Linked DNA regions of Oreochromis niloticus. The protein of the gene in region 2 interacts with the protein of the main gene of each other region in a pairwise test. Links are inferred from orthologs where the notes say so. Each region holds a gene or a part of one and is shown on either strand. Other genes may lie near its edges. The genes, in order: serine/threonine-protein kinase 4, sav1 and hax1.

The links.
Region 1: the proteins of sav1 (region 2) and serine/threonine-protein kinase 4 interact in binary tests that used the Homo sapiens proteins (3 or more experiments, as listed by UniProt). The link is inferred for Oreochromis niloticus from reciprocal best matches to the Homo sapiens genes SAV1 and STK4.
Region 3: the proteins of sav1 (region 2) and hax1 interact in binary tests that used the Homo sapiens proteins (3 or more experiments, as listed by UniProt). The link is inferred for Oreochromis niloticus from reciprocal best matches to the Homo sapiens genes SAV1 and HAX1.

What each region holds. Positions count from the first base shown.
Region 1 is NC_031970.2:4,653,530-4,663,871, forward strand, and holds the start of serine/threonine-protein kinase 4, read right to left. Parts: upstream 4,192-10,342; 5' UTR 3,736-4,191; coding exon 3,692-3,735; intron 1-3,691. Other genes in the region: cox6c (cytochrome c oxidase subunit 6C), read right to left, coding at 7,012-7,137, 7,617-7,721. UniProt on the Homo sapiens protein: Stress-activated, pro-apoptotic kinase which, following caspase-cleavage, enters the nucleus and induces chromatin condensation followed by internucleosomal DNA fragmentation.
Region 2 is NC_031983.2:21,072,851-21,083,619, reverse strand, and holds the start of sav1 (protein salvador homolog 1), read right to left. Parts: upstream 4,532-10,769; 5' UTR 4,288-4,531; coding exon 4,194-4,287; intron 3,501-4,193; coding exon 3,012-3,500; intron 1-3,011. Other genes in the region: nin (ninein), read right to left, coding at 6,309-6,515, 7,331-7,444, 10,225-10,317, 10,410-10,511, 10,598-10,732. UniProt on the Homo sapiens protein: Regulator of STK3/MST2 and STK4/MST1 in the Hippo signaling pathway which plays a pivotal role in organ size control and tumor suppression by restricting proliferation and promoting apoptosis.
Region 3 is NC_031985.2:17,527,321-17,537,003, reverse strand, and holds hax1 (HCLS1-associated protein X-1), read right to left. Parts: upstream 3,981-9,683; 5' UTR 3,835-3,980; coding exon 3,770-3,834; intron 3,489-3,769; coding exon 3,238-3,488; intron 2,983-3,237; coding exon 2,783-2,982; coding exon of another isoform or gene 2,764-2,782; intron 2,692-2,763; coding exon 2,637-2,691; intron 2,541-2,636; coding exon 2,407-2,540; intron 2,313-2,406; coding exon 2,177-2,312; intron 2,106-2,176; coding exon 2,032-2,105; 3' UTR 1,710-2,031; downstream 1-1,709. Other genes in the region: ubap2l (ubiquitin-associated protein 2-like), read right to left, coding at 7,312-7,407, 8,024-8,218, 8,348-8,415. UniProt on the Homo sapiens protein: Recruits the Arp2/3 complex to the cell cortex and regulates reorganization of the cortical actin cytoskeleton via its interaction with KCNC3 and the Arp2/3 complex. Slows down the rate of inactivation of KCNC3 channels. Promotes GNA13-mediated cell migration.

The DNA.
Region 1 (10,342 bases), on a different chromosome or scaffold from region 2:
TTAAAACTGTTTTTTTTTTTAATTAAAACTCAATGTGTATCAAATTTATCAAAGCAACATTAAACAGGGGTGAATGTATTTGGCCCAATGTTTCCTCTCATCTGTCAGCCACAACTCCGTCACACGTCTGCTTCATGTGTGCCAGATGTCAAATGTATGTTTTGACATTTAGACCACATGTGGCCCACCCGATGCTCGGTGGAAGTCACATACAGCCTGCCTCATGTCGTTTGGGGCCACGTCAGTCTCAGACAAACACTTGCTGGTATTCTTACTGAGACACACATCAGGCCCAAATGTGTCTGTTATATGGGATAAATGCTAAATCCAACTAACATACAGAAGGAAATGATTTTCTCTTCTCCTTCTAACTAGACACAAGGTCCTCAGAAACACAGGAATGAAACAGGACTGTAGCTGTTTACATCTGCATGGACCAATATTGTTCTAATCTTTATTTATAATCTATTTCCTTTTCCACGCCTGCAGACGTGCATATTAGGTTACCCCATGATTCGAAATTTGTTGTAGGTGGGACTGTGAGTGTGAATGATTGTCTCTCTATGGAAGCCCAGTGATGCTGGGGTGGTCTGCCAGCCACCAGCCTCCCTGCAACTGCCAACTGGATAAGCAGCTAAAAAAAATAGACGACTGGATGGATTTAGGTGATCTGATTTAGGAGACGATGAAAATAAAGTAAAAAGAACATTAAAACCTAAAAATAATATACCAAACAATTTTTTATATCCTAAACTGAACAAAAACAACTCATGCAGTCTACAAAAATGCTCCTCAAATTCACATCAAGCAAGTACAGCGTTTCTCACATACAGACTTTACCTGGGCAGGTGACCCAGGTATGTTAACACCAGTCCAAGTTTACAAGTCTCTTTTTATCCATTCAAGAAAATACCAGTGTCAATTTACTTGGAAATCCTCGCACTCTTATTTTGAAAGACCCATCACTCCTAACAAACCAAGTCCTTCCTGTCTCTTGACCTCCTCCCGGCAGGTTGTTATTGTAACACACCTTAGTGTCATTCAGCTGCTTCTACAGGGTCTCGTGTCCCGGGTTAGAGAACAGACTCATGTACCACCGCACTGAGCTCACAGAGCAGAACGATGACTATCATCACCAGCTGCAGGGCAAGACTGTGCAGTCCATCCACAGGACGACAAACTCAGTAGAGCAACAGTGGATTTTATTAACCTGTTACTGATCTGCACAAAGTACTTGCTTACTAAGGTATTTGAAGAGGAGGGCCCCATAAAAGTATTTACTTAATTATTCATAAAAGATCATGACTGTGACTCCCCCACACACCCGAGGGTGACACTGAAATACATCAGGATATACAAACATGGTTTTATAATTCAACACAAAGCCGAACCCAGTCTTGCAATAACAAGGGATGAAACAAACACAAAAGTCCTGCGTTACATCAGCCCAATGAGGAAACAGTGGATGAGTGAGTTGAAAATGATAATATAAGAGCGGCGAGTTTTACCAGCACCCTCCTGATAAGAGGAGATAATAGGAACCTCTGAGTTCCTACTGTCAAACACACTGAGCTCACAAACCAGTTCCCACAACAAACAAGTTCACGTCTGTTATGAGCTGCTTAACATCCACATACAGTGATGACAGCGAGGAGAAAAAAAAAAACAGGACGCATTTTTAATGAAGAGTTTGTTGTTTAGTTTTTATTATTCTGATCATTTCCACTTACATCGGGGTTTGTTTTTTTAGCGTTTATGGTGAAAATGTCTCTAAGGCTGCTCAATAATGGAAAACAATCAGTTATTTTGGCTGATGCTATTTAACACGATTACTCAGACTTAAGAAAAACTGTAGATTTGTTACATTTTAAATAATAAAAGATCCATTGCTTACTCTGAACTTAAATTATAATTAAAAAAACCTGCGCTAAATGCGCCACAGCTTAATAGGGAGTGAATCTGAACTTCTTTGGCACAAGAGAGGGACAAAGGTAAAGAAAAGAGATGTGTAAGGCCAAAACAAGAGCATCCTGAAATATGTTTTCCATACAATAAATAATTTATATCCTTAAAATATTCAATATTCTACACATACTTTAGAGGAGCATAAATCACATTAAGAAACTTGAATCAGAACTTTGTGGCACTTTTGTTTGATTTTAGTCACTTTCTGCTGAACAGTTAATTCTTTATGTGTTTTATATTAGTGTAATTCTACAGAAACTAAGACTGTGATTCAAACAGCCAGAATATCACATCGAGGCTCCAACTTCCCATACCTTAATAATACCCAAGTGGAACTACGTTTAAGGACTGCTCAGGAAACGAGTGAACTGCAAACACATCATAATAATGGAGTTTATTTATTGGTCATGAATAACTGATCAGGCAACTAAGACTTTCCTGTCTTTTGTTATTCATCTCAAGAATGACACACACACACATACATACATACATATATATATATATACATACATGTATGTATATGTGTGTGTGTGTGTGTGTGTGTGTGTGTGTGTTGGTATTTTACAGCTTATTTAATATTGCCAGTACCTGCCAAAGCACTGTAGGTGGAAAACATTTAATTACTGAATTTGGTACAGGTTTTATGTGTATAGCACCAAACACATAACGAAAAAAACTAATGTAAACTTTAGAACCTCATAGAATAGCCATTGTTCGCTTATTTTAAAACAACTTTAATCTGAACAGGACATTAAGCCACTCCTGTCTACATATTTTTCACATATACAGTTTATCTCTGCTTCCTTGTAAAAGCCTAATTACAATATCACAGATTTCACAACTTCATATCTGAATCAGGTTATCTGCAGTGTAAATAAAAGATCTACAGGTGCAGAGACACAGCATCCACACACAGGAACAAAGTCCCACATGAATCACACTCATTTCATTAAAAAGGGGTTTTTTTTCTAACCCCCTGTCTTTCCACCTGCCACAAACCCAGTGCTGTGGACACCCCACACACTCGCACGAAGTTTCACACACACAGCTCTTCTGTCAGAATTACTGCGCGTTTTATTGACTCTGAGCTGATTCAGTAACAACCTGTTGGAGATTAAAGCAGATAATCCGAGATCTTCAAAGAGATTTACGGCATTAAATTAGATCACCGGGCCTTTGATAGTGACAAGCCCAGGGATTTGACACAGCAGATCAAGTGTACACAGGCGGCTTGGTTAATGCAATAAGAGCTGGGCTTGCGTGGTACTGACAGGCCACTATTTATTTAATCAATTAAGAGAAAAAATGTTCTGCTTCCTAGTTCTTAAGTGAGAAAAGTTTGGATTGACAGGAATAATAAGACTGACTTTAGATTTCTTGTTACAAATTCTGGATATTGTGAAAGAACAACATATACGAACAGACTCTTTTAAGACATAAACATAAACTAAATGGAATGCCCTGCAGACACAGGACGGCACGACCCATTAAAGTTACCCATAAAAAGACTACAGGGGACACGGTGAAGCTTTAAAGACGTTTTACCTTAATGTCTGTTTTATCGTACAGTCGCTTATGTAATGCTACAGCCTCACTGAATAGATACCAGTTGGCCGGAAGATTGCCACCCCACTGACAAACTTCACCGACTGCTACCGTTAGACTGATAAAATCAATGAGATGCCAGCAATCAAAAAGCCCGTTTTCATTCTTAGCATAGCTTTACCTGCGAGGGTTATGCCTCATCTGTACTTTGTCCTTGTAGTCCATGATGTCCTCTTCAGGAGACCCAGACTCTTCTGGATCTTCTGGCCTGCAGTCAAACTCGGAGGGAGCTGGCCAACGTTTCAAAGAAGACACTCGATGCTAACAGTAGCAGACCGCTTAATGCTAACTCGCTCGCTAACTGGCTAGCAGCAGCTAGAGGGACAGTTAGCCCGCTCCTCCGCCTCACAGCAGCCTCCCCGCTGCCGCCGCTGCTGCCTGATATCCGCCAAAAACACAACGTCCGGTCATCATTCTGCAATACAGGCTCTACACACACTGCGGGTTTCTTCCAGCTGCCGTATTCTCATCACTGAATTCATCCTCCTCCCCCGTCCTCCAACTTTAGACTTGTTTGACAGACCGTTTGGCAGCCGCTGTAACATCCACCTGAAAAAACCAGGAAGTGTAGTAGAAGGCGGTGCAAACAAAGACTGCAGTAAGGGACGCGGCCAGCAGGGGGCACCGGATAGACAGAATCCATCCATCCAACGACAGCTGTCCAAGTATGTCGAATAAACCATTATAAAACCAAAACATGGGTTACTAATATTATATAAAGTTACCATATTCTGTTTTTTTTTTGTAAACTCTTTTGAAAGCAACTGGCGTGAGGAAGTTTTGGTGAATTTATTTACCATTTAATTTAATTCAATTCAATGTTATTTTATTTTTTTAATGTCAAATCACATCAGCACTCACCGCTTTATATTGTAAGACAATTTTAAAACGATAAAACCTAAACTAAAACAAGCAAACATTCTCTGGAAACTGAAAAGAACTGCAAAGGAACTGGTTTGGTTCAGCGTTGCTGTTTCTGCTGTTTAATGTTTTCTTGGAAAAGGTAAAGTCAGACTGATCTTCTAGGTGGCCGGTGCCAACTTTGGTTCTTCATGTTTGGAGCAGAGCATGTTTTGGGTTGCTGTTGTGTTGGAAAACAGAGCAATGACCTACACCCAGATTTACTGCTGACTGCCTGAGGTTCTCTTTCAGAATCTTTACACATCTTTCTTTCTTCAATTCAGTTCAGTTCAATTTTATTTATAGGTGAAGTCTAGTGATAGTTTTCTTTGAGACTAGAATAGAATAATCCTTCAATTGTCCCACAAGGGGAAATTTGGTTGGAGGCTACAATTCCTAACTCAGTCCTTAATGCTTTAGAAACATTTATTACTAGCTTTCTTTCTTCCAGAGTCTTTGAAATCTTTCACTCTCTGCCTCTACCAGGCTTGTTCTGTACAGAGCAAGTCTTTAATTTCTTTGTAATACATCTCACTTCAGTTTGGAAATGTTTTAATAACTTATAATGCATATCCATCTCCTGCTTTGTGAGCATTAATGTCTACACTTTAATCTCTGAAAGTGACAGATAAAACCTAGAAGGTTTTAATAACTTGTATAGGATAACCCTCAGTTTGAACTTGATTTTGCAAGCTTTGAGCATTTTCAGTAGACAAACTCATCAGTGCTGCCCACACTGGATGCTCCACCTCAAACGTCAAAGCATTTTCAAAAATGTCAAACTGATGAGAAAATTTGACAGTACAGTGAGGTAGTCAATAATAAATACAGAGATACAAAAGATACATTTGATACTCATTAATATTTGAGTCCAGTCCAACCCCATTGTTGTTTTTGTCTAACACTTCAGTGGGATTCAAAGCTTATTTTTAATAAATCACAAAGGCAGATGTTTTATCATTAATAGAATAGTTTATTTCAATGAACAAAAACAGCAAAGCGACGTTTACATCTGATCAGTAGGTAACGTCAAGGTGGAGGTGGAGAGGAACCATCTTTTAGACCAGGAATGAACAACAGGGAAGCAGAGCTGGAGGAAGGAAACAACCAAATATTAGAGAAGCACGTGGTTTGATACGTCAGTAAACAAGTTGATGAGCACGACAAACTTTTTGTTATATTTTGTTTAAATAAAAAATACTATTGTTACTGAGCTAGTATAAAATAAAATACTATTCCAGTTTACATAAAGATTTAGATTTAGATTAAAAAGGTCTAAGATTAAACAAAAGCTGTATATAAAAGATGGATGCAGCCACCATGACATCGCCTATCGGTTCGTAAAGTCACCGTCTCACAGATGTTTTGAAACTTTATGTGCCTGCGAGGTGCAGACCTGACTGAGAAACAGAGTGATGCTGTGAGCTCACATGGCAGCAAGCTGTCAATCATATGGTAGCCCCGCCCTAAAGCAAAACCTTGCTGTATCATCCATTTCTGACTCCATAATTCATAAAAACAGCCATCATATTGTATTAAATGAGACTTTAAACGATTCAGAGACCACAAACTCCACAGAGCCGACGGTCTTTTTTCTAAACACTTCTCTTCAATCTGAATTCTTTCCAATCAGAGTAAGCGCCCCCTGTTGGCCTTTAGAAAACACACAAATTCAAAGCACCTCAGCATCAGGCACCAAGCTGCATTCGTCTTTTAAACATAACAATTTTACTAAAACAAAACCTGAGATTGCAAAAAAACCAAAAAAACATCTGCAATATTGTGAAATGCTCCATCCCCATGTACTGTGATACTCATGCATTGCTTTACTTAACACTCATCTTAAAGAGTGAAGTGGAAATTCTTCAGAATAATGGAATTTATCATTTGTTTAGGATTCAATTAGGGATCAGGCCTGTGGTTAAAAAAAATAATAAGAAAAAAGACTTTTAAAAACATTTTTAAATGATTTAACTTGTCAAAAAAAAAAAGTCTGGGATCTGCATCATGCTTTTGAAGAATTGCTACAGCACCTAATACAAAATACTTTCCAACAATGGCAGAGTTGTTTAACGATGCACAGACAGCCTTCAGACACTTTCTTGAAAAGATGGCTGCTGTAATGTTTGTTTGCATGCCAATAAACCTGATTAGATCCACTTTTCCTATATTTAAAGCTAGCTGTGTCTCTTGTTCCAACCACAGATGTGAACTTTTTCCTTTGAATATGCAGCCATGCTCAGTCACAGAAACTGCCCATAAACAAGAAAGTTGTCACAAACTGCAGTAACAATAAATTCTCAAAACCTGCACATCTTGTATCATCAGAAAATATTAAGAGCCTAATCGAAATATCCTAAATGAAAGTTTCCATGATCTGTTTTAAATTAAGAATATCATCTTCAGAAAAAAGAAAAGAAAAAAAAGAAAGCAGAACGTTAATGGTCAGAAACACCATCATATCAGATATTACACTGCATATGATACCGAAGTTTGAAATGACAATATTTAAAGGCAAGTGATGAGGCCCTCACCGTGGCTTTACTTCCCAGTGGGCTGCACACTCTCAAAGATCCCGGCTTCCCTCATGGCGTTGAACTCTTTGACGGCATCGTACTGCTTGTAGAAGTCTGCATAGGCCCGTTTCTTGGGCTCTGTCACCGTGTACTGTGGGGAATAACAACAAAAACAATAACAGAGCTTTAACTTACTGCAGGTAAAATTAGTATAATTGCAGAGATAACAGAGTAACAGAGAGACACAAAGTATTAAAAGTGAAAGTGGGCTGCTCACTGTGCAGCAGAGTAAGACTGGTCACAATAAAAAAATATTATATTTCTGTATCTATTTGTTACCATCCAAAGCTTAATGTCTTTGAAGTGAAGCTACGGTTTCAGCTTAATCTAACATTTCATCACATCTTATAAACTGATCTGAAAAAAAGAAGTTTAACTAGAAAATAAATACAATGAATAAAATATGATGACAACAGAATAGCCAATCAGCTGTCTGCTGAGCTGTAAGTGGATCCAGATACTGACAGGAAACTTTGATGTGTTCCTTTCATCACGGCTGTGTCATTTTATATCTTGGCATCACCATCAGAGTTGTGTCTGTAGCCACGTGAGTGTGCGTTGTCCTCTCACCTTGAATGCAATTGCAGCTGTTAAAGCCAGAGTGAAAGCAATGGGCAGGTGAAACCTCAGTCGCTTTGCAAGCAGCCCCCTCATCATTGGCTTTGGCAGAGACATGATGAATCACCTGCAGAGGAAAAAAAATACACAAAATGTAATTTTAATTTCCCCCAATTATTAAATTCTGTACAAATATCAGGGAAAAAGAAAAAGAAAGTACTGTCTTTATATAATTTCACTTTAAATTGTTTAAAACAATCATTTCCTGGTTAGTGTAAAATAAAAGCTGAATTTAACAACCTAATTTGAAGAATGCCTTGATGTAAATACACTGAATACAAATCATATTGTGTGTTTTGGTAAAAGTGGAGTTATAAAAATAAGACGCATGTTATTTTATAGCTTCCATGTTTTACCATCATCACCATGGAAGCTTTTATAGAGACAATAAAAGCTGCAGTGACAACAGAGAGAGTGACTGTGGAAGGAAATATGGGAGAAAACATGGATGAGACTAAATGCCCTGCAGACAAAGTTTAAGTACATCCAAATACTGCAGCACACTAAAAATACCAGGATGCCTGTTGTACTTGGATTTATTTTGATGTATGCATGCCAGCATGCTTTGGTGGCTACTGTGACCCACAATCCTCTGCTGCAGCTGCATGCTCAGCAAGGGGGTCAAAGGTGAAAGTGCACAAAGTATGTTGGAATTGTACACATACTGATACTGCAGTATTCTGTAGTTTTGTTGTGGTAAATGGACTAAATGGGCTTCTAACATAGTCCTTTTTTGTTCTCAGCACTCGAAGTGCTTTATACAACCTGCCTTATTCACCCATTCACAAGCACTTTTTCCAATTATTTTTCTATGTCAGTTCTTTCTAACATTCACACAAATTCATACTCTGACGGATGCATCAGAGAGGAATTTAGGTTAGTATCTTGCCCCAAGGATATCTGGAATGCAGACTGGTTGCCTTGGATCGATCCACCAACCTTTTGATCAGTGCATGATCTCTTTCTACCTTTCCACTGAAACACATTTAATAGAAACTGAATCTAATGCAACTTCATAAAATAAACATGATCAATTTTTAAGACAAAAAACAAAGATTTTAATTTATGAAACTCATTTTTGGATTTTTAGACCATTAAAAAACAGAAACCTTGTTGGTGACAAACCAAGGCTGCAAATTTCCTCACTCAAGAAACTGAAATCTGAAAATATCTTCCATAAGACACCTTTTTTTCCTAAAAACTGACAACAATTAAACTCACTATTTTATTAACTTAATAATAACCAACTAATCAAATCATTTACATCAAAATCGGTACATTTTCCTTGAATTTCTCACATTTGATAAATAAAAATACATTTCATACATGAGTATATTAACCCTACTTAAACATAATGTGTAAAAAACACATTTATCTCAGTCCTGATTTTTTTTAACATCACTGGAAAGTTTTAATCTTTTAAACATGTGTTAGTCCTGCAACTAACCAGTCAACTTGAAATGCATGTAGACACTTATTCAGGCACTTATTCTGAATCATTTCATAGACTTAAGTTAATTTCGGTAGTCGCCAAAATATAAAAACTACATAAATAAGATCCCGAGTCTAACATTTGATATATCTGCTTTACAAATAAGGTGTGATAAAAGCTTTATTCTGCTGGAAGTTATACCGCCATCTTTTTTGGTGCAGATTTAAATCCTGGATTCTTTGATGGTCATGTTTCCTCCTCACGTCTTTGGCACCAGTTAATAAATAAAAGCAGGTAAAAGCACCCATCTGAGGATGGCCTCAGGTGGGTCCTAAATCGCCTGAAGGTCGTTAACAGTCACCTCTAAATGAACCTGCTGTTCTCAAAACCCGGCTTCACCTGAATTAACTCAATACGACATACAGGATCCAAGAGAACAATGAAATATTGAAAACAAGCAGAATGAAATGAATCCGTGTGTTGGTGTGTGTGTGTGTGTGTGTGGAGGATCGCCATTACACACAGCTGCAGAGTCACACGGTGTGACCTCTGTGTTTTAGTCCCATTACTAACTCTGACGTATGCCCTCTTTTACACTTAAAGACACTTAAATAATAACTATATGCATTATCGAAGGGCTTGAACAGGCTGATTTTGATTATTAACGAAAGTAAAATCGGCTTGATGCCACTAGCTTCGGCGCAGGGTCAGAATAGCGTTAGCTAACTCGCGACACTGAAAACGAGTCCACTGCTTTCTAATACGACCATTTCTTTATCTCTTGGTGGGACAAGCTATACCAACACAGCCTGCATAAACTAGCGTATATTGTTGGACTACAGTTTATAAGAGTAACAGGCTTTGTGTTAGCGCCGAGTTAGCTTTAGCTGTACACGATGACAGCTAACCGGCCCGCGACAAAAAGAAGAAAGCAGGAGACAGTACGAGAAACTGTAATAACCCGGAAGATATCAGTCATCTGAAAATCAACATATTATATACAAAATTCAGTGTAAAAATATAAACGTTTTCCGTTTTGACAGATACTCACAGGTTGGACTCACGACCTTCACAGAAACCGCTAACGCACTGCAGCTGCAACCGGAAGAGATTCTGACGGGATGGCGGAGGGACAAACTTCGGTGGAGTAAAAGCGAAGTCAGTCAGAGCAACTGAGGTCACAGAAGGCAACAATCTTGTTTATCTTGTTTTGTTGTCTCAAATTATGACATCATATCAGGAAATT
Region 2 (10,769 bases):
GGCCTTTCACTGGGCCAGAACAAATGGCTGTAAGAGCCGACAGCAGAGAGGGTTCACGCAGCGGGTCCTGTACTTTTATTGGAGAATAACGTCAGCGAGGAATGTCAAGTCGACAGCTGTGTGGATGTGGATGAGCGAGAAGTGCCATGACTCAAAGCAAATGAGCTTGCAGAAACCAAGAATTCCAAATACAGGGGAACGCTAAAGGATCTCAGCGAAATGGCGGCTACAATCTGATAAATTCTACGCTAGAGTGACAGCAACAGAGGTGGAGCTCTTTGCCAGCTGCTGAATGAAGGGAAGGAATGTGTGAGAGCTCCACAGAAATGCACTCCTCCTCCTACACCACCCCCATCTCATCATCATGATCATCATGTCTGCCCTTTCCTTCAGAAAAAAAATGCTCACAGCAGACCTAAAGCTCAAAACATCACAGGAATTTCTTAGATTACAGTGAGAAGCAGCAAATTTTACAATCATGCTTGTGAGCTAATGGCTGGGCTGAATGAAACAAAGTGGGTAGACTGATAACATCACGTTAGGGAAAACACCACTGAAAACATGGAAAGAAGAGAGAGAGAGAGAGAGAGAGAAACTGGGATCATTTATGAAAACATCAATCACACACAAGAAAATAACATGATTAACTATACCAGGCTCACCCTTTCAGGGTTTGCAGAGGGACAACTTATGCCCATTTCTGTTTTACACCTGGACTCTAGTAGCTCAGCAGCTTTTTGCACGAGTTCAAAATAAGCCTAAATTGTCTCATATCAACCGCTTTTATCAGGTGAGGAACCACATATGTCTGTGAGGTGTGGAACTTTCTCCCAACCAATCAGGAAAGATCAAGCTATGTGACAGACAGTGACATCTGATAAATCTGCAGTGGCCCAGAACATGCTATTTAAGAAATAGCACGTTATAATGTAGGACTTTAAGTTTGATAGTACACTGGATAATGCCACAGCATTGTATAACATTAAACAGTGATCCATTGAGAAGGTTAAAACACTTGTACACATTTTCAAGTTTAGAATTATGAAATGTGATTTCCTCCGTTTTATATTATACTTAAAAGTCATATATAGTTGTTTATTTTTACTGTGAGACTTTTTTCTACTAAAATTGATTTAATAATTCACTATTTGTTTTTTTATTTATCTTTGACTTAATTACATATAAGAAAAAAAGTGGTACAATCAGTACATATAATGCTATTTTTCCACTTCTTAGTAAATATGTACAATTTATTCGTCAATATTTTTTGTTTTCAGTAAATCTACACTTATCGACTCAAAAACATTCTGTCCTTTTTTTTGCAGCTGTCTGATCAGGTCGTTTATAGAAAGAGGGAAAATGCTGTTGTGTCAAAGAATCATGTCACAGAACAGCACAACCTGACTTGAATTTCCAAGTATTTCAATGAGTGCCCTATTAAGAGTTAAGCCTTGACAAAGCCCCTCAGTTCATCCAGAACTAACCGCTCTTTCTTTTAACTGGCTGCCCTTTGCAAACACGAGGTTTAAACAGCAGGTGTGTGGGGCTTCAGTATAGTATAGGACACCACTTAAACAGTATATACTCTCTTTTATTTCCCAAGGGGTTGCCACACAAGATCTTCATACCCAATTTGGCTGAGATTTTCCAGCAGATGCTTGTGTGATACAACCCTCCTTATCTGGGCTTGGGCACTAGCTTGTGCTTCTACCTGGCTGCCTGATGGACCAACAAAAGGACAAGCAAGAGTAGCCCACAGACCGGTTGTACAACATACTTTGGACACTGTCCAACAACAGACGGTCTCTGCAGGTAGATGGGCCAGCATGCCACCCCCACTGAACCATAATTTCAGTTTAAAGCAAATGTGACCAACTATACCACAGAGCCACGCTGTAATAACATATAGTGGCATTGTACTGACTGGGCGTCATGCACAAACATGCTACAGCGTTGTTTTTAAGCACAAAAAAAGACTGCACTATATTCAAAGTGATGCTTGAATGACTTTACCTTGTTAAAGAACAAAACAAATCATGCTTTCCCTTGTTTTCTTCTGACTTCACTACTTGAACACACGCAACTCAGAAATAACGTCAATCCCTGCACCAACATTTAACTTCTGAGTTATTTTCAAACTGCTTTGATTTGATTATTTTCTTGTTAAAAAGTACTATTTACGGGACAAAAACATGCTGTTATCAAAATGAAAAAACGTCTGCCAGTGTTTGAGGGGTGACCCCTCTCAAACTTCACTGTGTTTTAAATGCAAGCATAAAGAGATCAGCACATACGTAACAAGGATGATTCATGCTAGCGAGCAGTTTGAGGCTGAGACATTTGACTGGGGGCAATGTGCAAATTACTAGTTTGCTGGCAGAAAGTTTCAGCAAACACAGTGGTGAAAAATGCAGAGCCTCTAATGCTTGTTTGACTTTACTCCAAACAAGGCTACATGATCGGCAGGCCTGACATAATACTGAACTGTATACATGACACTGACAAGCCAGCCACAAAATAAAAGTGTCTTTATGGTACGAGGAGGACAAGAAGCATTCCCGTGCCCCCAACCCCCCCCCATCTCAATGTAATTACACTTACATCATAGTAATGTTTACAACACAGAGCAGTAAAATAAAGACTGAAATGAAATTGCTCTTTTCAATTTGACAACTAGTGGCCTGCATTCCTTTCAGAGTGGCCTCTGTGTAGTTGGACAACCATCCATAATACTCAAAACAGAAATTATACATTAGTACAGCCACTGACACTACTACATCTTGCCATACACCAAAGAAACAAGGGTTTGAAAAAAAAAAAAAAAAAAAAAAAAAAAAAAAAGGTCTACAAGGGGAAATTTTAAAAAGTTGCTGATGGGATGTCAGTCATAAACTTTCTGAAACTAGGTGTTTCTTGCTTTTATCACAAAACCTCTTTAAATTCGTTAAAATATATAAATAAAGACATGAACAGCGTTAAAAGGGAGCTTCACAAAGAAATGTAAAATCTACCTGAAGGGGGTCTGTTTGGAGCTGGGGGAGTATGTTGTCGGGGATGTCTTTGGAAGTTGTGCTCATTGTGCTCGTAGTATCTATAGTCTTCAGGAAAGCGGTCTGGGACTCTCCTTGGCTGGCGCTGCTGCTGCTGTTGATGTTGCTGGTTTTCATAATAAGGTTCAGAGGGGTAATAATACCGGGCATCTCCATTCTCAGACATGGGACTCACGTCTGTAAGGAAGGACTGTGATGAGCCTCCATACTCATGCGAAATGTCTCCCAGACTGCGAGGCAGGTACGGAGGTGCAGACAAGCGGTGGCTCTCTGTGCGGGCCACCTCATGAGGAGTCTTCTGCACATGGGTACGGAGGACACTCTTGTTACGGGACACCACAGGTTCCCGGCTGGGTGCCAAAGGGTAGGAAGAAGGCACCATTTCTGGCAGAGGGACCTCTGTGCGTCTGGGTATAGTGGGTCCATGACGGATGAAGGAGGGCATAAGATCTGCAATCAGGTCAGCAGAGCAAATGTCAATAAAAGGCAACACAATATCTTGGAGCTGCTCATGCCTGATGACTTGAAAAAACCAAAACAAAACAAAAAACCCATAATAAAAACAGAATATTTTACTAATAGGAGCCAAATCGCGTACTTTTAATTTTCATACCTGAATTATAATGTTTACTGACTCTCGAATAAAACTTTTACACGAGAAGGTAATTTAGTAATACCCCCATTTCTACAAAATACTGCTATTTTCACTCCAGTGAACATTCATAATACTTCTATAGATACTCTAATAGAAACACCTAACAGCAGCTATCACAATAATCATAAGTCATTACAGACACTAAAAAAATACTTTTAACTAAACTAATCTACTAGTATAATATGCCTTTAGCTGAGTCATTTAGAGCTGTAAGCATTATCTTATAACTTTATACACTACAACTGGCGCTCATGTAGCATTTAGCTACAATAACTATCATCGTAGCTGTGTTTGGTTAGACTGTACAGCATTAAACTGCTGTTTACAATCGTGGGAGCTTTAAAAATAAGTATAAATGTTCCCACAGAGTAATTTTACATTACTTGTTAATGTTAGCCAACTAAGCTTTAACAGTGTTTAACTTTAACTAGCGAGCTGAGTGATGCTATTCGGGGCTAGCTGACAAGCTAACCACTTGTTGCGCTTACTTCTCAGGAGCGGCGACGTTTCCTTCTTCACATACTTCCCGTGTACCTCGGCTGGTTTGGACGCTTCGTTCTTACTTTTCTTTCGTGAGAGCATAACTCAAGGCTCGGAAAACATCAACAGCACGGTGAGGTAAAGTCATGGCACAATCCTTCGACTTTGCAACCATACCGGCCAGTTAGCAAAGCGCGGAAAGTCAACATTTTTCCCCGCAGCTTTGGATTAGCTAGCCGCAGTTAGCCAGCTAACTGAAGCCATAGGGAGCGTCAGTGCTGCTGCAGCGGATCCAGTCCCACTACTGGGAAGTCCTTCCATCTGAAGGAGGAGAGAGAGGAGCAAAAACCACCGTGGGGCCCTTCGGTGACATAAACACAGTATTAACAGATACATATGAAAATTTGATTTAGAAATAAACTGACATGAGAGACTTTTGAAGGTTGGATGGCAATCAATAAATAATTAAGCCTATACCTTTAAATTTATTATACTACAGTGTTCAAAAACTGTACTGTAGTTAGAAAATATCAGTTAAATTTTTCCTAAATCTCTGTTGTCTTTACTTATACACGTTTTCATACAGATTGTTTAATGCATGTCTGTTTTGTGCAAACTTTGGATGTAAACAACAAAAGCAGCAAACCATGAGCAGCATTTTAAAGCCGTAGAGAGTTAACTGATCGTTTAGACTAAAGTGACTACATTTCTGGTCACACCTGTATGTCAGGGATGTTAAATGGCCCAGGGGTTGGAACAGGCTTCTCAAGGGTCTATACTGACCCACTAGATGGCTTAAACACTGTGGAAATTGCAGATTATTTTTTTTTATCTGTATTGTCCAGTTTTACAGCTTCTCTTAAAAACACATTATCCTTTCATACACCAAAGTAGGTACTGAATAAATGATATGAAATGGTTTTCTTTCATTATTTACATTTTTGTTTTGTATCGGAGCCACAGGTTAAAAAAACCCCCAACAACTTTATTTACAGTATAAAGTGTGGGATGCCAGTGTTTTTTTTTCTGTAGCTGTAATCATTTACTCAGACATAAACCTAAAGAATGTACATTATAAAGAAATTTGTCAGCAAAGAGTGAGACGTACTGTTGAAAATACACTTTTTTTTGTTAAGACATCTCAGTTGTTTAATATTTATCTGAACTTTTTTACACTGAAAGAAAGGGGAATAATTAAGAGGCATCTTCTAACATGTTATTAGGCCACAGCTTTAGCTGGATGTTGGACCACAATGTAAAATAAGTTTGACATTCCTGCCATGGATGGTTGGCATGAATTTTAAATATGTTGATTTTGCTTGAATCACATTTATTGTTATCATGTGTATGTCCAATGAAAAAAAGCCATAACTTACAAACCACCAAACACAATCCATTCATTTTATTTATATCTGTAGCACAGCCATTACCCTGTCTTAACTCTAATGCTTACTCTGCAATAAATGCAGATTACAATTAATTACAATAACAAGGTACTTTCTTTCAAGCCAGAACAACCATAATCACATAGCCTGTACACCTTTACATATTGCAACAGATCATACAATTTCCTTTAAAAGTAAAATGACATGTAAAATATTGCCACTTGATAGACATTTAAAGTCTTTTCAATTTCAAGTAGTGTTAGGTAAAACATGATTTGACTTCTCAGTTTGCATGATTTTACTACCGAACGACAGGTTTCTATTTATTCTTTTACAATAGGGCTAGAGAAACAACTTTTGGACAGTTCAAACACAGAACACTTGTATAAAAAGTACACTTCATAATTGTTTTTCCTCTCTTTGGACAGAGAGCAAGTTTAAAGGTAAGATATTTACTAATAGGTAATAGTGCTTTAAAAATATAAATAACTGTAAAAAGTCATGTCTTCTTTGCAGTTTGACCTCATATTTAATTATTTATGGGTCCCATTAATTACTGGTTAGAATTAAATGGACAAAAATACTGCATATTTAACATAAAACCACCAGTTCTCATGAATTGGCAGAATCTGCTGCATAAAGTTTGCAGCAGTGATAAATATAATAAAATAAAAGTATTTAGTAAAGATACAGTGCAAATATTGACTTTGACACACATTTCAAGTTAATCCCTTGTGATCATTTATAATGGTACGGCAGCGGAAGATGTGACGGGTTTAGGTCACACACTATCTTATTGAGGCTGGAGATCTTCTCCTCCAGCAGGTAGTTCTTCTTCTCCGCGATTTTCTGACGTTGCTCAGTTATCTCCAGAGCCTTCAGCAGCTGGGCATTCTCCACATACAGATCTTTGATTAGTACGTCCGCTTTGCCATTCTTGTGCAGCTAGAAAAGTCAAAGTAGATAATTGATTGTAATGGGTTACATTACATGGCAATGTTTTGAATAATTTCAAATTGTTCGAAAAAAAAAAAAAAAAAAAAAGGGGTTTTAGTTATGGAGTTCCACAAGGTTTTGTACCAGGACCCATACCATTTCTCTTAGGTAGTATTTTTACTGGATACATTTCCATTGCTATGAAGACTAAATGGAGTTATCTACGACAGAAAACACAATATGGGTATAGTTTAAATTAACAACATAACCTTTCTAATGATAAATTCTGAGTTTTTTTTATTTTATCTCTGTGGAATTGCCAAGCATCTCGGAGTGATGTGGAAAAATGAATTCATACAGTTTTTAATTCTTGGCTGGACTCCTGCAATCACTATCAAACTGTACCAAATGTTCCTCCTAACATATAAACTAACAATGAGACCCCATCAGATCTCATCAGGCCTCTTCTCCTGTGGAAAGAGTTCCAAGTTACAGGTGACAGATGCCCTTCTCTACTTTAAAAATAGTTAATTTTTGATTAAGCTTATAGTTTGCAGATGACCCTGAACCATCCCATGTTGATACAGGCTCAGACTGCTGGGGAACCTCCCATTATGCACCAAGTATGTTTCATTATTGAATAATATTAAATTTTGTCTATCTTCTCCCACAGGTTGTGTTGCGTTGTCATTGTTACCAAATTAGCTAATGTATAGTAGATTTTTGTTGAAATGGCAGTCCAGCTTTGTACAACACCTTACAAAAAAATAAAAAAATAAATAAAATAAAATTAGTGGAAGCCATTGAACTGAAACTGAACTGACCTGGTCTTTGAGTTGAGCAACTTTCTCTTTGAGCAGCAGCTTGACATTATGCAGAGACAACTCTATTTCCTTCATTCGTTCCTCCATGCGCTTCATCTTCGTCTCCCTTTCATCCTGGGGAGAAGACAGTCAAGGACATTGTCAAACTGCTGCTGATGCAAGACTACCATATAAAATGAGTTCAGCTTCTGAGTGGGTGAAAAAAAAATATAATAAAAACAAAACAATTGCAAATGTGAGCGTGAGATGAGTCAGACACCATTTCTTGTGAGCTAGTTGCTTTATTCTTTATTAATGGATTTCTGTTACATTTCTAAAGAGGATGATTCACTAGAAAAATAAATACAAGTATAAAATTATGACTTATATTCCAGATATAGCTACAAAAAATATTAATTAATGAATAAATAAAACAAACTCTAAACATGAAAAAAATAAATAAAATAAATAAAACAGATGTGCATCATAGGAAGAACAAAAATGCACTAAATGATTAAAAAACCCAAAACACGGACATAATGACACGCTGTACTAAAGACAAACTACCAACCTCACAAAGATTTAATAAATACCAGCCAAACATTGAAAATTAATTACCAAACATGTTTGATCAGTCCTTGCTTAAGAAAAACAAAAAGATGTGATTCACTTTGGGTGCTCAGCAGCAACAAAAGAGGCCCAGAACACAAATATACAGTAGAGGACAGTAGAGGACTAAAAACTTGGTATCTTCATTGAACAATCTCCATGAACCCTGACTGCACACAAATAGCATCAGGTAGCATCACCTGGCAACAACAGGTGGGAATGGTTTGATTGTTAGAAAAAGACTCAAAAGGCTGTCAGGCACTAACCTTGGCCCTTGATGACAGGATTTTTCCTCCGAGGATACATACCCTGTCATAAACCCTTTAAAGTTTTAAAAAGACACAAGTGCATAACAGTCATTCCCAGAAAGTAAACCCTGCATCGAAAAGATTCACTGCGACCAGGATGTATAATGAATCCACCAAAGGTCTGGTCCTACCTCTTTCCAGTCTATATAAGCTCAGTGATGTTACATTTTTATTTATTTATTTATTCTTTTTAGAAAACATACAGTCTATCAACTGTCAATGCAAGTATTAATGTGATCAAAATCCCATTTGGAAAACAAGCCAGGAGCCTTTTCTGTGTTTCCCTGCCACCTAGCAGCAATGAAATACAACTACAACGTCATGCCATTTATCTCTGGCACCACAAATGTGGGGCTTCATGTGCCACATTCAGATTTTTACTCCGGATACAGAGGGAGAGCAGAATGTAAGCAGTCTGTAAAGCGAAGAGCAGGAAATGACGCTGGCGTTACAATCCACCGATCCGCCGGCAGCTGTCTGCGTGTGCCGCCCGCTGCTCCGGCATCGCCCCCTGGAGAGAAAAGGCAGGTACACTTCACCAGGGCTCTACCCTCTAATTCTAAAGATGGGCTTTTTATGCCTGAGATGTGTGTAGACTATTGAATAAATGAAGATAGACAAACTAGAAATTCTAATATGAATGCAGATTAATCAATCTGCAGGATGTCAGCATTCCTCCTGTTCATACTGGCTAAGAAAACATCTCTCTAGTTTTTCGTTTTCAAATTTATAGTCCACTGTTTAAGCACTGTGGATTTGGACAGTTGTATAAGCCAGCATGAACAGCAGGACTAATCATACATACAGGGATCTCAAACGTCAATTATTAACTGATCGTCACTGATGAAGTGCTGAACAAAGATGTGGGCAAACTAGGACTAAGTCAGCAATTACTAAAAAGAAGAAAAACTTAATCTGCAAGTAAACTAGCAATGGAGTTTTCTGCAGATGTTGTGCATAATGTTTTTGTTGCTAACAAAGTCCACTGTGTTAATGGCAACCTGGTGATGATAGATGAAGGTGGAAGATGCCACTTACACATATGATAAGTATAAAAGGACAACTTGTATTTTTCGGGAAATGAAGATTTATGCAGATTGTGGGAGAAAACGTGAAAAAAGGAAAAAAATAATAAATAAATAAATAAATCAGCCACCACACCCAGATGATCACACCATGGCAACTACTTCAGCCTATTTCAACCAGCATTCAAGGTTGAAAATAAAAGACAATGAATTCAGAAACAAACAAAACAAAATAAAAAAAAATAGGTGCCACAAGCTAAAACACCAGACCCATGAAGGTAAACTCTACAGATATGACAAAAGGAGATGAAGACAGATGGGTGCACAAATGGATCTACGACAGGTATAAAAACAAAAACAAAAACAAAAACACAGCAAACCCAGCTTTAATAAATAAAAGAAAAAGAAAGGAGCGGAAAACTCAGACGAGGAATGGAGGACACAGCTCAGGTTACACTTTTTTTTGCTATGATGTTGAAAATGTTAGTGATGTCCAGTTTTTCACTGACATTTACAGCCACAAGTACAATATGAAAATGCTGTACATTATTTAATATCGGAGCAAGTAACAGCAGTCAGGGAAATAAGGAGGTGGTAAACACAGGTGCTTCTAACCACATTAATGAAGACACTCAATACACAGAACAGAACCTACATTAATTAGAAAAACCTGCGTTTAACTACGATTTCATGGCAAACTGAAGCTGCTGTGTCAAAGGTCTATGTATCAACTCCCATTATAAAGTGAACCAGCATGAGAAGTGGTGCACAGGCTTCAAAGATTAATTTAATATTAAGAACAAAAGAGGGAAAAAAGTGCAATGTGATCGAAAAAAATAAGTGTGAGAAAAGAACGGCAATCTATAAATGTACTAATGCAGTACTTATTTATTATATCCAAGCTTACTTAAGAGGTAAACGGTTATATATTTGGTCAGGTTTGCCATTGTGGAAGTTCTGAATTGCACTGTACCTGCATGTTGTCTGGATCGTCACCACGGTGCTGTCCTCTGGGCATCCTGTGAGGTGATGGAGGCAGGAGTCCCATGAATTGTGCCTGAAAAGTCTGTAAATAGGAACAAATATTGTTTAAATTATTGTGCTTTCTTGTTAAACTGGTCTATCCAAAGAAAGCTTTAAAGAAAAAAGCTGGAGTACCTCAAGCAGCTGTGTTGTTAGTCGAGCCAGCTGAGCCTTGAGCGCCTCGTTTTCTTGCTGAAGGCTCTCCAGCTCAGTGCGTCTTTGTCCACCTTCACAGCCCTGAATGAAAAGCACATGCAATAAGAATTTCTGATTTTATATAATCGGAACATTCTTTGGTTATAGTCAGCAGCATGAATGCACACCATGGTAAGCTCCCTTTGTGCTTCAAGCTCCTTTTTAAGAGAGAAGTTTTCCTGTTCCAAGGCCTTCATCAGGGAGGACTGACTCTGATGTTTGTGCTGCTTCAGGGACAGTATGGTAGCATCAAGCTGACGGACCTGCAAACACAGAAAAGACCACTCACATAACTAACAG
Region 3 (9,683 bases), on a different chromosome or scaffold from region 2:
TTAGTGCACTTCTCTGTGTACCTCACACCGACACACACAATATACAGTATCCATCAGATATACAGCATCTCCACTCAGGTCATTTCACTCAGTGCCACCTTTAATAAACAAAAATAGTACATACAAAGCCACAATTATTCTGATCTCTTGGTAATGCGTTCACATTTATTACACAATCTTTTTAAATTTAGATCGTTTTGACTGGAAACAGCAAAGTTTACTAAATTAAAGTGGCAAAGGATTCGCTGTTTAGGTATCTCAGTTCAAATGAAAAACAAGCATCGACAGCTGACAGTGAAGTATTTGCACTGAAGACTTTTAATTCATATCAAAACCCTTTTAGACTCAAAAATGAACATTTGTTTGTTCATGTCTCTTCCAAGGTTATTGTAACTAAAAACTATGCTGAGCTAAAAACTAACTAAATGTTTGGGTTCCTATTATTCCGCTCGAGGTATTTTCTATGCAGCACAAAATACTGACTTTTACACCGCTCTTCACGAAATGTCACAATCAATCCCCAAGTTATTTCTTAAAGTAGAAAAAACCCAGTTTATCAGTTTTTAACTTCTATTCTTTCACTGATTTTCTTAATTCTTTGCCCACTGTCACTGTGATTTAACCCTCATATACAATAAATTTTCTTTTCATTTATTTCATTTGCTTACATATGTATCATTTTTCAATATACAGTTAGTTGCTTTATGTGTTGTTTTATTCTGTGTGATTAGAAAAAAGAGAAACTATTGTCATTTGTTTTGCCGGTCCATTTTTTCCTCTTGATTAAAATTTTAAAATGTAAAAACAAAAAAAAACAAAAGCATCTGTATTTGTATTTTATTCCTTTTAGCCTAAAACATTACCTTTAGTTTATATCCCTCTCTGGCTTTGAACACAGAAGCCCAACTAACTGCTTTTCAAACCTCTGAGATTTTCACCAGAGAGATGAACCAAAAATGACTTTTTCCACTGGCTGCACTGAGGTACAGTATCAGAAAAAAAAAATGCTACTCTGCTATAGTCAAGGTTAGACATATGGAGCCAGAGATTATTATAATAGGATCCCTTTAAAGCAGGAGTTAGTAACTGACAAACATTGAAATGTCAAAAAAGTTTAAATTTAGCACCATCTGCTACAGAAATGTCTGTTTTTGTAACAGACCCACAGTAAAAAAAATGACATTCAACTTTTTCTTTGAATTAAGAAAAACTTTGTTGTATAATTACGGGACAGTCCAGGCGATGAGCTACCAGATGTTTCGGTAATTTTGCACATTTACTAATTATAATTTAAGCACAACTGGTTGGATTTACAGACTTCTTTCATTTAAAATAACAGCATTTCTTTATCGTGTGGACAAACTGACACAAACGGTTAAATGTGTAAGCTCCTTTAAATTAAGAGAAAGGGCAGCGTCACTCGTCCGTCTCACTCGAGGTTTAAATGAGCTGTATAGAATGACTGTGACCCTGTAACTTTGTAGCCCTGTAGAGCCTGAACCATGAAATAGCTGCTAGAAAATGAAGCATTTATGGATCCTTGTGTCAAATTAAAAGTAATATGAATTTTAAATTGTATCATACGTCCAGCATTTTTTTTAAAGTTTTGCTTAAAAGTATATTGTGCAGTTGATTTCGTTTTCTTGATAATGTAGAAGCTGAAGACTAAAGATACCGTTACTAACAAAAATATGAGCCAAACAACTTTGTACATATATTAAGAGTCTTTATTTAATTCTTCACTCACTCACATCCACACAGGCTTGTCTACAGGACAATACAAAAATAAAATATGGAAACGTGAATTGTTCAGCGTCTCATGTGTCTCAGTGTGTCATCATCAATAGCTTTCAGGATCTGCAGCTTCGATCCTGCATGATCAGTTTGGACTTCCAGTTTCATCTTAAATGAGCCAGCGAGACTTTATCCAACATATTCATTTTGGCAAAGGAAGTCCATGAAACTGTTTGTCCATACATTGGTATGTAATATAAATATGCTAGCTCACATCTCTACTAACTCCTTCACATTTTATTTAAAGCCTCCAAAGAACCTGGAGAATAATGAGTCATCATCCCGCAAGTCTGAGAAGTGGTGGGGATCACCTGGAAGAAAACCAAAAATAAATACTTTTTTTTTTGTGTGTGTGTGAATAAACAATTCAAAGAACACACACCCGAGACAAGCTGACCTGGCAGCACAGGTCCATTCGCATGATCTGGTCCCTCAGAAATCCCAGAACCTCTCGAGCGAGTCACCGTGGTCTCCTCGTTGCCTTGGCCGTCTCTTACCGTACGCCTCTCCTCTACACTCTGACACACGCAAACGAAATGCTCATCAAAACTGAGACAAAACTATTAAAAGAATCACTATGAATGTATTAATACAGAATTAAGAAACACTCACCCCATCAGGCTTCACCACCTTAGTGACAGTGACAGACTGAAAGAAAGACCGTGTTCTGGGCTGGTTTGGTGCCTGACCAGCAGGTGGTGTCAAAATCTGATCCAAGCCACCAGAGGACACAGCCGAGTCCAGATCTTGGGAGGATCAGAATGGGAATAGAAAATAAATTTGACACAATCTAAAAGAGCTTCCACTAAATTATCAAATAAAATGTAAATATCACCACCCACCTCTGTCACCTTTGTGCTCCTCCTCTGGAGTTTTGTGTCTCCAAATATCATTAAACTTTTAAACACACAATACAAAAATCTCAGTGAATATACAATAGCTTGTGTCGCAACAGAAACAAAGAGGGAGGAGTGAATATCTCCTTTACCCTGGAAAAAGGGGTCCGGCCATGAAATTCAGGTGACTCGTAAGAAGGTCGGTGATCACCTCGGGGCTCTCTGGATCGTTGTTGTGTGTCACTGTCAGGATATTTGAGCATAAAGTCTCTCAGAGGGTTTCCACTGGAGCTTGCTTGCCCTCTCTCTGCTCTGTCCTGAGACGGTGGTGGTGGCATGATGTGGGGAACATCTAAAACACAAAGAGGGCAAAAGAGCAAACAGGTTAAACACAGAGCAGAGGAACATGTCGAGTTGTGGTTAGAATTTGAGTCTTCATGGGCATGGATGTCATGATTAATTTTGCGCTTTTAATTATTTCTTTTTCCAGGGTGAAAGAATTGTACACCATACATCTTTACTGACACTTTTTTACTTGTTTTTTTGGGGTTTTTTTACATTTCATTAAAAACAAGCGACATGAAAACATGTGGGTCTGTTTTCATACCAAAGTGTCCAGCCTCTGGATGTCCCTCCCAACGACCCAGCTGGGAGAATATCTCCTCCATCTCCCTGAGGACGTGGCCAAACATCGGGGGGTCCTGAATCCGCATCCCGTCCGGGCCAAAACTGAAGCCAAACCTCCAGGCGCTGTCAAAGGGGTCCTGCTGCTCCCCACTGAACCCATCATAGTGGAATCCATCTTCATCATCTTCATCGTCATCATCGTCATGAGTCATGGCATCGAAGAAAGGGTCCCTGACAGACGAAGTAACACAAATGTACAAGCTTTGAAATCTCCCTTTGGTTTAGAAACTGCGTTATAACATGCCGCCAGCAAACAGACCTCAAAGTACTCAATCGTATTAACTCCGTGAGCATAAATAACACCTAAATAAATCTAGCTGAAGGACCCCTGTGGTTTTCCTGGCAGAAAATACTAATCTTGTCCCTGACATAGCTGCACGCAACAGAAAGTGTACTAAGTTCAGCTAGCTTAGCCGAGTGTACAGCTGCGTACTTCGACGCCATAAACTCACCTCCGGCCACGATAATGGCCTCCGGGTACCCCGAAGAACCCGCGGAATAAATCAAAAACACTCATTTAACTGCAGCTTTGGTGGACACTTAAACCATAACTTAAAATGTGCAAGCAGCGGACATCCACTGGAGAAACTCGCCAAGATGTACTACAGCTGTCAACAGTGTCGTAAAGCGTTCTAGACGATTCATCATGACGCAATCTGTCGTAATGTTATTTTACCGTAAATAATAGATAAAATGGGCACTCGAAATAAAAGCGCACTGTTGAGATTCAGGTAACAGACGGCGGGTCTATGCCCGGGGCTGGCAAGATGGCTGTGTCTACATCGGCTCACTTCTCACCTTGCTTGTCATGTGCTTCATGGTGTTGTGATGTCAAGATGTATGTGCTCTCTGTGCAGAGGAGTTTTTTTTGTTTTCTGTTCTCATGCTGACCTCCCACAAGGAACCCAGTATGAGGTCTCTTTTTTTCATTCCTCCATTTGCCCATTGTATTGTACATTTCAGTGTTCTTCCAATTACTACCTGTCTCCGACCTGTCTTATGTATGTATGGTCGGGGGGGGGTCCAATTTCACTGCAGGTGAAAACTTGCATGTGACAAATAAAGGTTTGATTGATTGATTGATTGATTGGCAGTATGGTCAACCACCTTGAACCTTGAAGGGTACACCAGAATTAGACTACAGTTTGCACGGAGTCGACAAAAATTGGACAACAGAAGATTGAATAAAAGTTGCCTTTCTAATAAGTCTCCATTTCAACTGTGATATTTGGATGGTAGGGTGAGAATTTGGTATTAACAAAAAGCTTGGCACCATTTTGTATCGGTGGTTGGCACACTTTGGTCTCCTTAGTACAATTTAAACTCCACAGCCTTTTTGAGTATTGTTGCTGACAACTTCTGATTGCTGCTTCCAACAGGATAACAGGCCAAGTCACACAGATCAAGCACCTTAAACTGGCTTCTTGAACATGACAATGAGTTTTTAAATCAGCCTCCACGGTCGCCAGATCTCAATCCGATGGAGCACCTTTGGGATGGAGTGGAAGATTCACATCATGGATGTGCAGCTGACATATCTTCTGCAGCTGTGTGATGCTATCACGTCAACGGGGACCAAAATCTCTGAGGAATGTTTCCAGTGCCATGAAAAAATTTAAGCAGTTATGAAGAGGAAAAAAAAAAAAAAAGTACAATCTGCTGCTAGCAAGGCGTAACTGGTAAGTGTATGGCTCATATATATCTCATGAAATGAGAGTATAGTACAGTTATGCCAAATAGGATCAGAGCTCATTTAGAGAGAACATCTACAGCTTTTAGTATTTTTTTATTCTGATGCTCCAAATACAGAAGCTTTGCATGATTCAGAGTTTAAGAAATCCAATTTCTGCTACGTCTCACTTCATCCACTACCTGAAATGACCCTTTTCAAGCCCACTCATTGAGAGCCCAATGTCTTCTGATTGGCTGCAACTCACTTGGCTTCTAAAAACAGAACCTAGTGCTTGCAAGGTGTAATCACATATAGAAAAAAAAAAAAAAAAAAAAAAATCATACTAAGCTGACATGAGCTTGGCACAAGAAACCTAATAGAGACCAAGTGTTTAGAGCAGTCTGAAGCCTCAGCCAGTAAAATCAAATTTAGCTGCGTTTAATACAGTAAAAGACCTCAATCCAACACAGCACCTTTGGGAAGCATTTACTGGCATTTAAAAGTACAGTTCTGTCTCTCATTTGCCTACTAGAAAGGTGCCAAGATGCATATCTAGGGGGGTAGAAAATATATCATGGAGAAACATAAAATGCTAACGTGTATCCAAGACAGATGGAGGTTAAAATGTACAAAAACAAAATAAAGAACCAATACCAACCAATACCGTACATTACATGGCCAGAAAATGTGTGATGTAGTTATAAGTTTGGAGTTTCATTTGGTACTCGACATCCTGGAGTTTATTATGACTCAGCCCACAAACAGAAACCAACTGGAAAGCCTCCAGAGGTTTTAGTTCTACCCAACATGTCATCCACGAACTGTATCATGTATGTTCAAGTATTTAAAAGCCACATGAGAAACGTAGTTTCTTAAAAAGACATTCACATCCAAAATGATGAAAATGTCTTTTTCTTGTTTATTTACTTAATATTTATATATTTTTACAAAATAAAAAAAACAAAAACAAAAAAGCTAACAAGTCTGCAAGGATTTAAGAAGGAAAAGAAGAAAGCCATCGAACAAACAGGGACTACAGTACTTGTGTTTTTTTTTTATATATGTACAAGACAAGTTTATCCATTTAAACTTTTTTTTTTTAAAACGCACAGTACAAAAAGAAAAAAAAAAATCACTGACAAAAAAAAAAAAAAAAAAAAAAAAGAAAAAAGAAAAGAAAAAACCCATAGTACAATTCTGTCCATCAGTATTCAATGCCGCAGATTTCCTTACAATGTTGGGGGGACAGGTGGCGGGGCAGGGAGGGCCTCAGAAACAAAGTTATTCACACTGGAAGGCAGACTGGGTGTGTATTGGCCTTGGAAATCATTCTCATCTTTCAAAATAAGAGGGGCCTTATGAAATATTTATAATTAATGGGAAAAGTTACTGTACAAGTGTTGGATAATGAAAAAACAAAAATAAATCCTGTGCTAGGCAAAAAAACCAAAAACAAAACAAAAACCCAAGCACAGTACGCAACCATGGCCCCCCCGTGTGTACAAACATGCACGCAGTCACATGACAAACACACTTTTTCCTCACAGTCAAAGCCAGTGAGCTTGCTTATATGTCTTTATATATAATATATCTATATTCGGTAAAAAATAAACTTCACAACTCTACCAATTTATAGAATTGTTTCTGCAAACTTAAAATGACATTAAAAAAAAAAAAACCCCAAAACAAAACAAAAAAACCCCCAAAACATGAAAAGTCAACGGCAAATTATTGTGTTTGGAAATGGTTCAGGAGGGAAGAATTTCCATCAAAATTAAGGAACGGGGGAGTTGAGGGTCTGAAATACAAAACCAGCCTGCCCCCACCCCCTTTTAGAGATTACTTCATTCCTCCCCTTCAGTGGGAAAAAAAGTGGGAAAAGACAAAAAAAAAAAAAAAAAAAAGACCATACAGGAAACGTTCATTTAGAAAAACAGTTCTATGTTACAAGTGAAAGAAAAAAAATGGGGGGGCAAGGGGCGGGAAGATTAATACGATACAAATTCCCAACACTTAGTATTTCACCCTCTTGATGGTTTGCTTCTATCACCATTTATCTCCAATCTCCCCTCACTTTTAAAGCCCCTCCTGTCCCTCCCACCCATCCATCCATGCATCATTAACAGTGCTCGTTCTCTCGGCACAGCACCTCCTCTGACCGCGGTCAGAGCTGTGGGAGTGCTGGGCCAAGAGACTGGAGGGAAATCTCTGCAGGAGGAAGCGGGGATTTATATGTGGAGACTTATTTGCCGAAGGAGTGAAGAGCCTCCCACCCCTCCCAGCTTTTTGACACTGCGGGGGGTGGGGTCCCGTGAGTGGATGTTAGTTTGCCCCCCAGCTGTAGCTGTTGTACGCCGACTTGTTGATCTGAGACTTCTGTTGGATGGAGGCGTTCTGGCTGCGCTGTCCAGTGCCGCTCTGTGGAGGAGAGTCACAAAGTTCATCAGTGAGCTGCCGCTTCGTGCCATGTGTTTACCTAAAAGCAGCACAGCTAATGTCACGGTGAAACCACAAACACTTAATGAACTTGCCAACAAATCTTTTAAAGGCAATTCACTAGATTTGTATTACTACTTATAACAGTCTGACTGCACGATGCTCGAGTGCTACTTCATTTATTTTGAACGTGCTTTATCAAAAAGACTGGAAGTTGTCGACTAGTTAACAGCCTGAATATAAAAGATGGAGCTACAGTGATGTCGCCCACTCATTTTTCAGCGTTGACCATAAATTTTTGTCGCCGTTTAGACACTGGTGACTGAGACAGTGAAGGATGCCGTTTTTCAACCTTAAAGCCGACCCGATCTCAGGCTCTAAAGCTGTCGCTACATTGGTCACCGCTCGGGGAACTGGTGTCGACACACTTCCATCATTTACTTTCAAGTCTATGCATTTTTGAGCTCATTCAGACTGTTGATCATTACTATTTGACTCACTGGGTGGAGTTTCCTTGTCAACGAATAATGCCTTTGCTCCGCTTGTTTCTAAAAATCGCATGACCTCAAATATGTAAGCATTTATATATACACTGCACCTGTCCGTCTTGCTGCAGGTGGTGGTGCAGAATCTGAGAGTGGGGTTGTTGGTGTGGTGTCAGGATATGCATGAATGGAGCTGGAGCGTAGCCGGCAGCGGCAGGAGGGTTGATGGGGCCCCCGCTGCCCAGCGCAGAGGGCAGGCTGAATGATGCAGCTGGCGTCCCGGCGTGGAAGCCCTGCTTCTCAAACGACTGCAGGGGACCAGGAAGAAAAATAATCAGTTTGGCCACTATAACGTTTTTTTGTTTGTTTGTTTGCTGCTACAAGACAAGCAAAAGCATATCCTGTGAGTAAATATTTCTGTTCTATTCTGTAGTTACCTGCGTCTTTGTGTAAACAGACCCTGAAATATCTGGTACTCCCGTGTTGCTTGATGTCACAGAGACTCCTGCAGAGAGGGGGAAACGACACAAACTGAGCTCATTAACTGTTAAACCGAATATGTTACTGCAACCACCCACGTGGTTACGCTCCGATTCTAACCAGCACAGATGCTACTGGGTCGATGGACAACAAGGAAATTAATGTATAGACATTATCTATGAGGGGGGAAAAAAAATCCAAATAATAACAGAATACTGGGAAATTCCAAGTGTGAACATCTATGTGAGCACGAGTCCATAGATGATTTCAGCAGAATTTCCCTTTAGTGACGACGGCAAAGAGACTGAGGTGGTGAGGAAGGATGAGATGAACAGGAAGAGGAATCAGAGAAAGATGGTGTAGCTGAATATGTTTCAGGTTTGGGTCTGACTGTATCTGGTGGCTGCTGCTCTGGTTTGCTCTGACACTTCCTTTTTAACCCTATATGATATCAGCTTACCAAAAAAGAAGAGACTCTGGATATTAAACAAAATGCTAGTCCCGTCCCAGTTTTCTAATTCCAGATGATTTATTTTTTCAAACATTTTCAAAGAAAATTACCCAAATATAAATGGTGACAATCATGTGCTTCTTTGCTTTTGCTGTCTTGTATGAAAATATAATTAATGATTTTGGATTTTTGACATCTGATCAGAAAAAACAAGATGACAATTTGCCCAACAAAGGATAAGAGATATTTGTTTCTGTCCATTTTATTATTATTTTTTTCCATTTTCCCCATTTTATGTCCCCAAAACAGTAACACTCAATACAGTACAGTACATCCCTATTCTGAAGACACAACTTTAGTAATCAGATGTGCATTTTCACCATTTTGTAAATTGTACTTGTCAAAAAAAAATAAAAAAAAATTAACAGGCTAATAAAAATAAAATACATCTCTTAGTTCCTCTCTTCAATCATTCATTCACTGACTTCTGTTAAAGATAAGTTTCTCAGAAGTCTTGGCACTGCTGGAAAGCAGAAGAATCTTGTATACAAGTGATATTAAATACTTCTGTCATTTTCTTCTGCAGATAACACAAGTGATGGATTTTTAAACTTTTGTTTTCCTTTTAAGCTGCTAATGAAACTGTCAGCTAGAGAGACGCTCAACCTCACGAGACTGTTAATCTGAAAGCACTCATTTCAGCCCTGTGTTGTGTGGAAGCTTCACAGAAATGTGTTAAAATCCTGAGTGTCCAAACACTTTTACACTGACAAGTTCCATGTTTAACGAGAAGCTCGTTAAATGCAGCATTTCTTGCTTCGTACACTCACAAGGTAATGAAG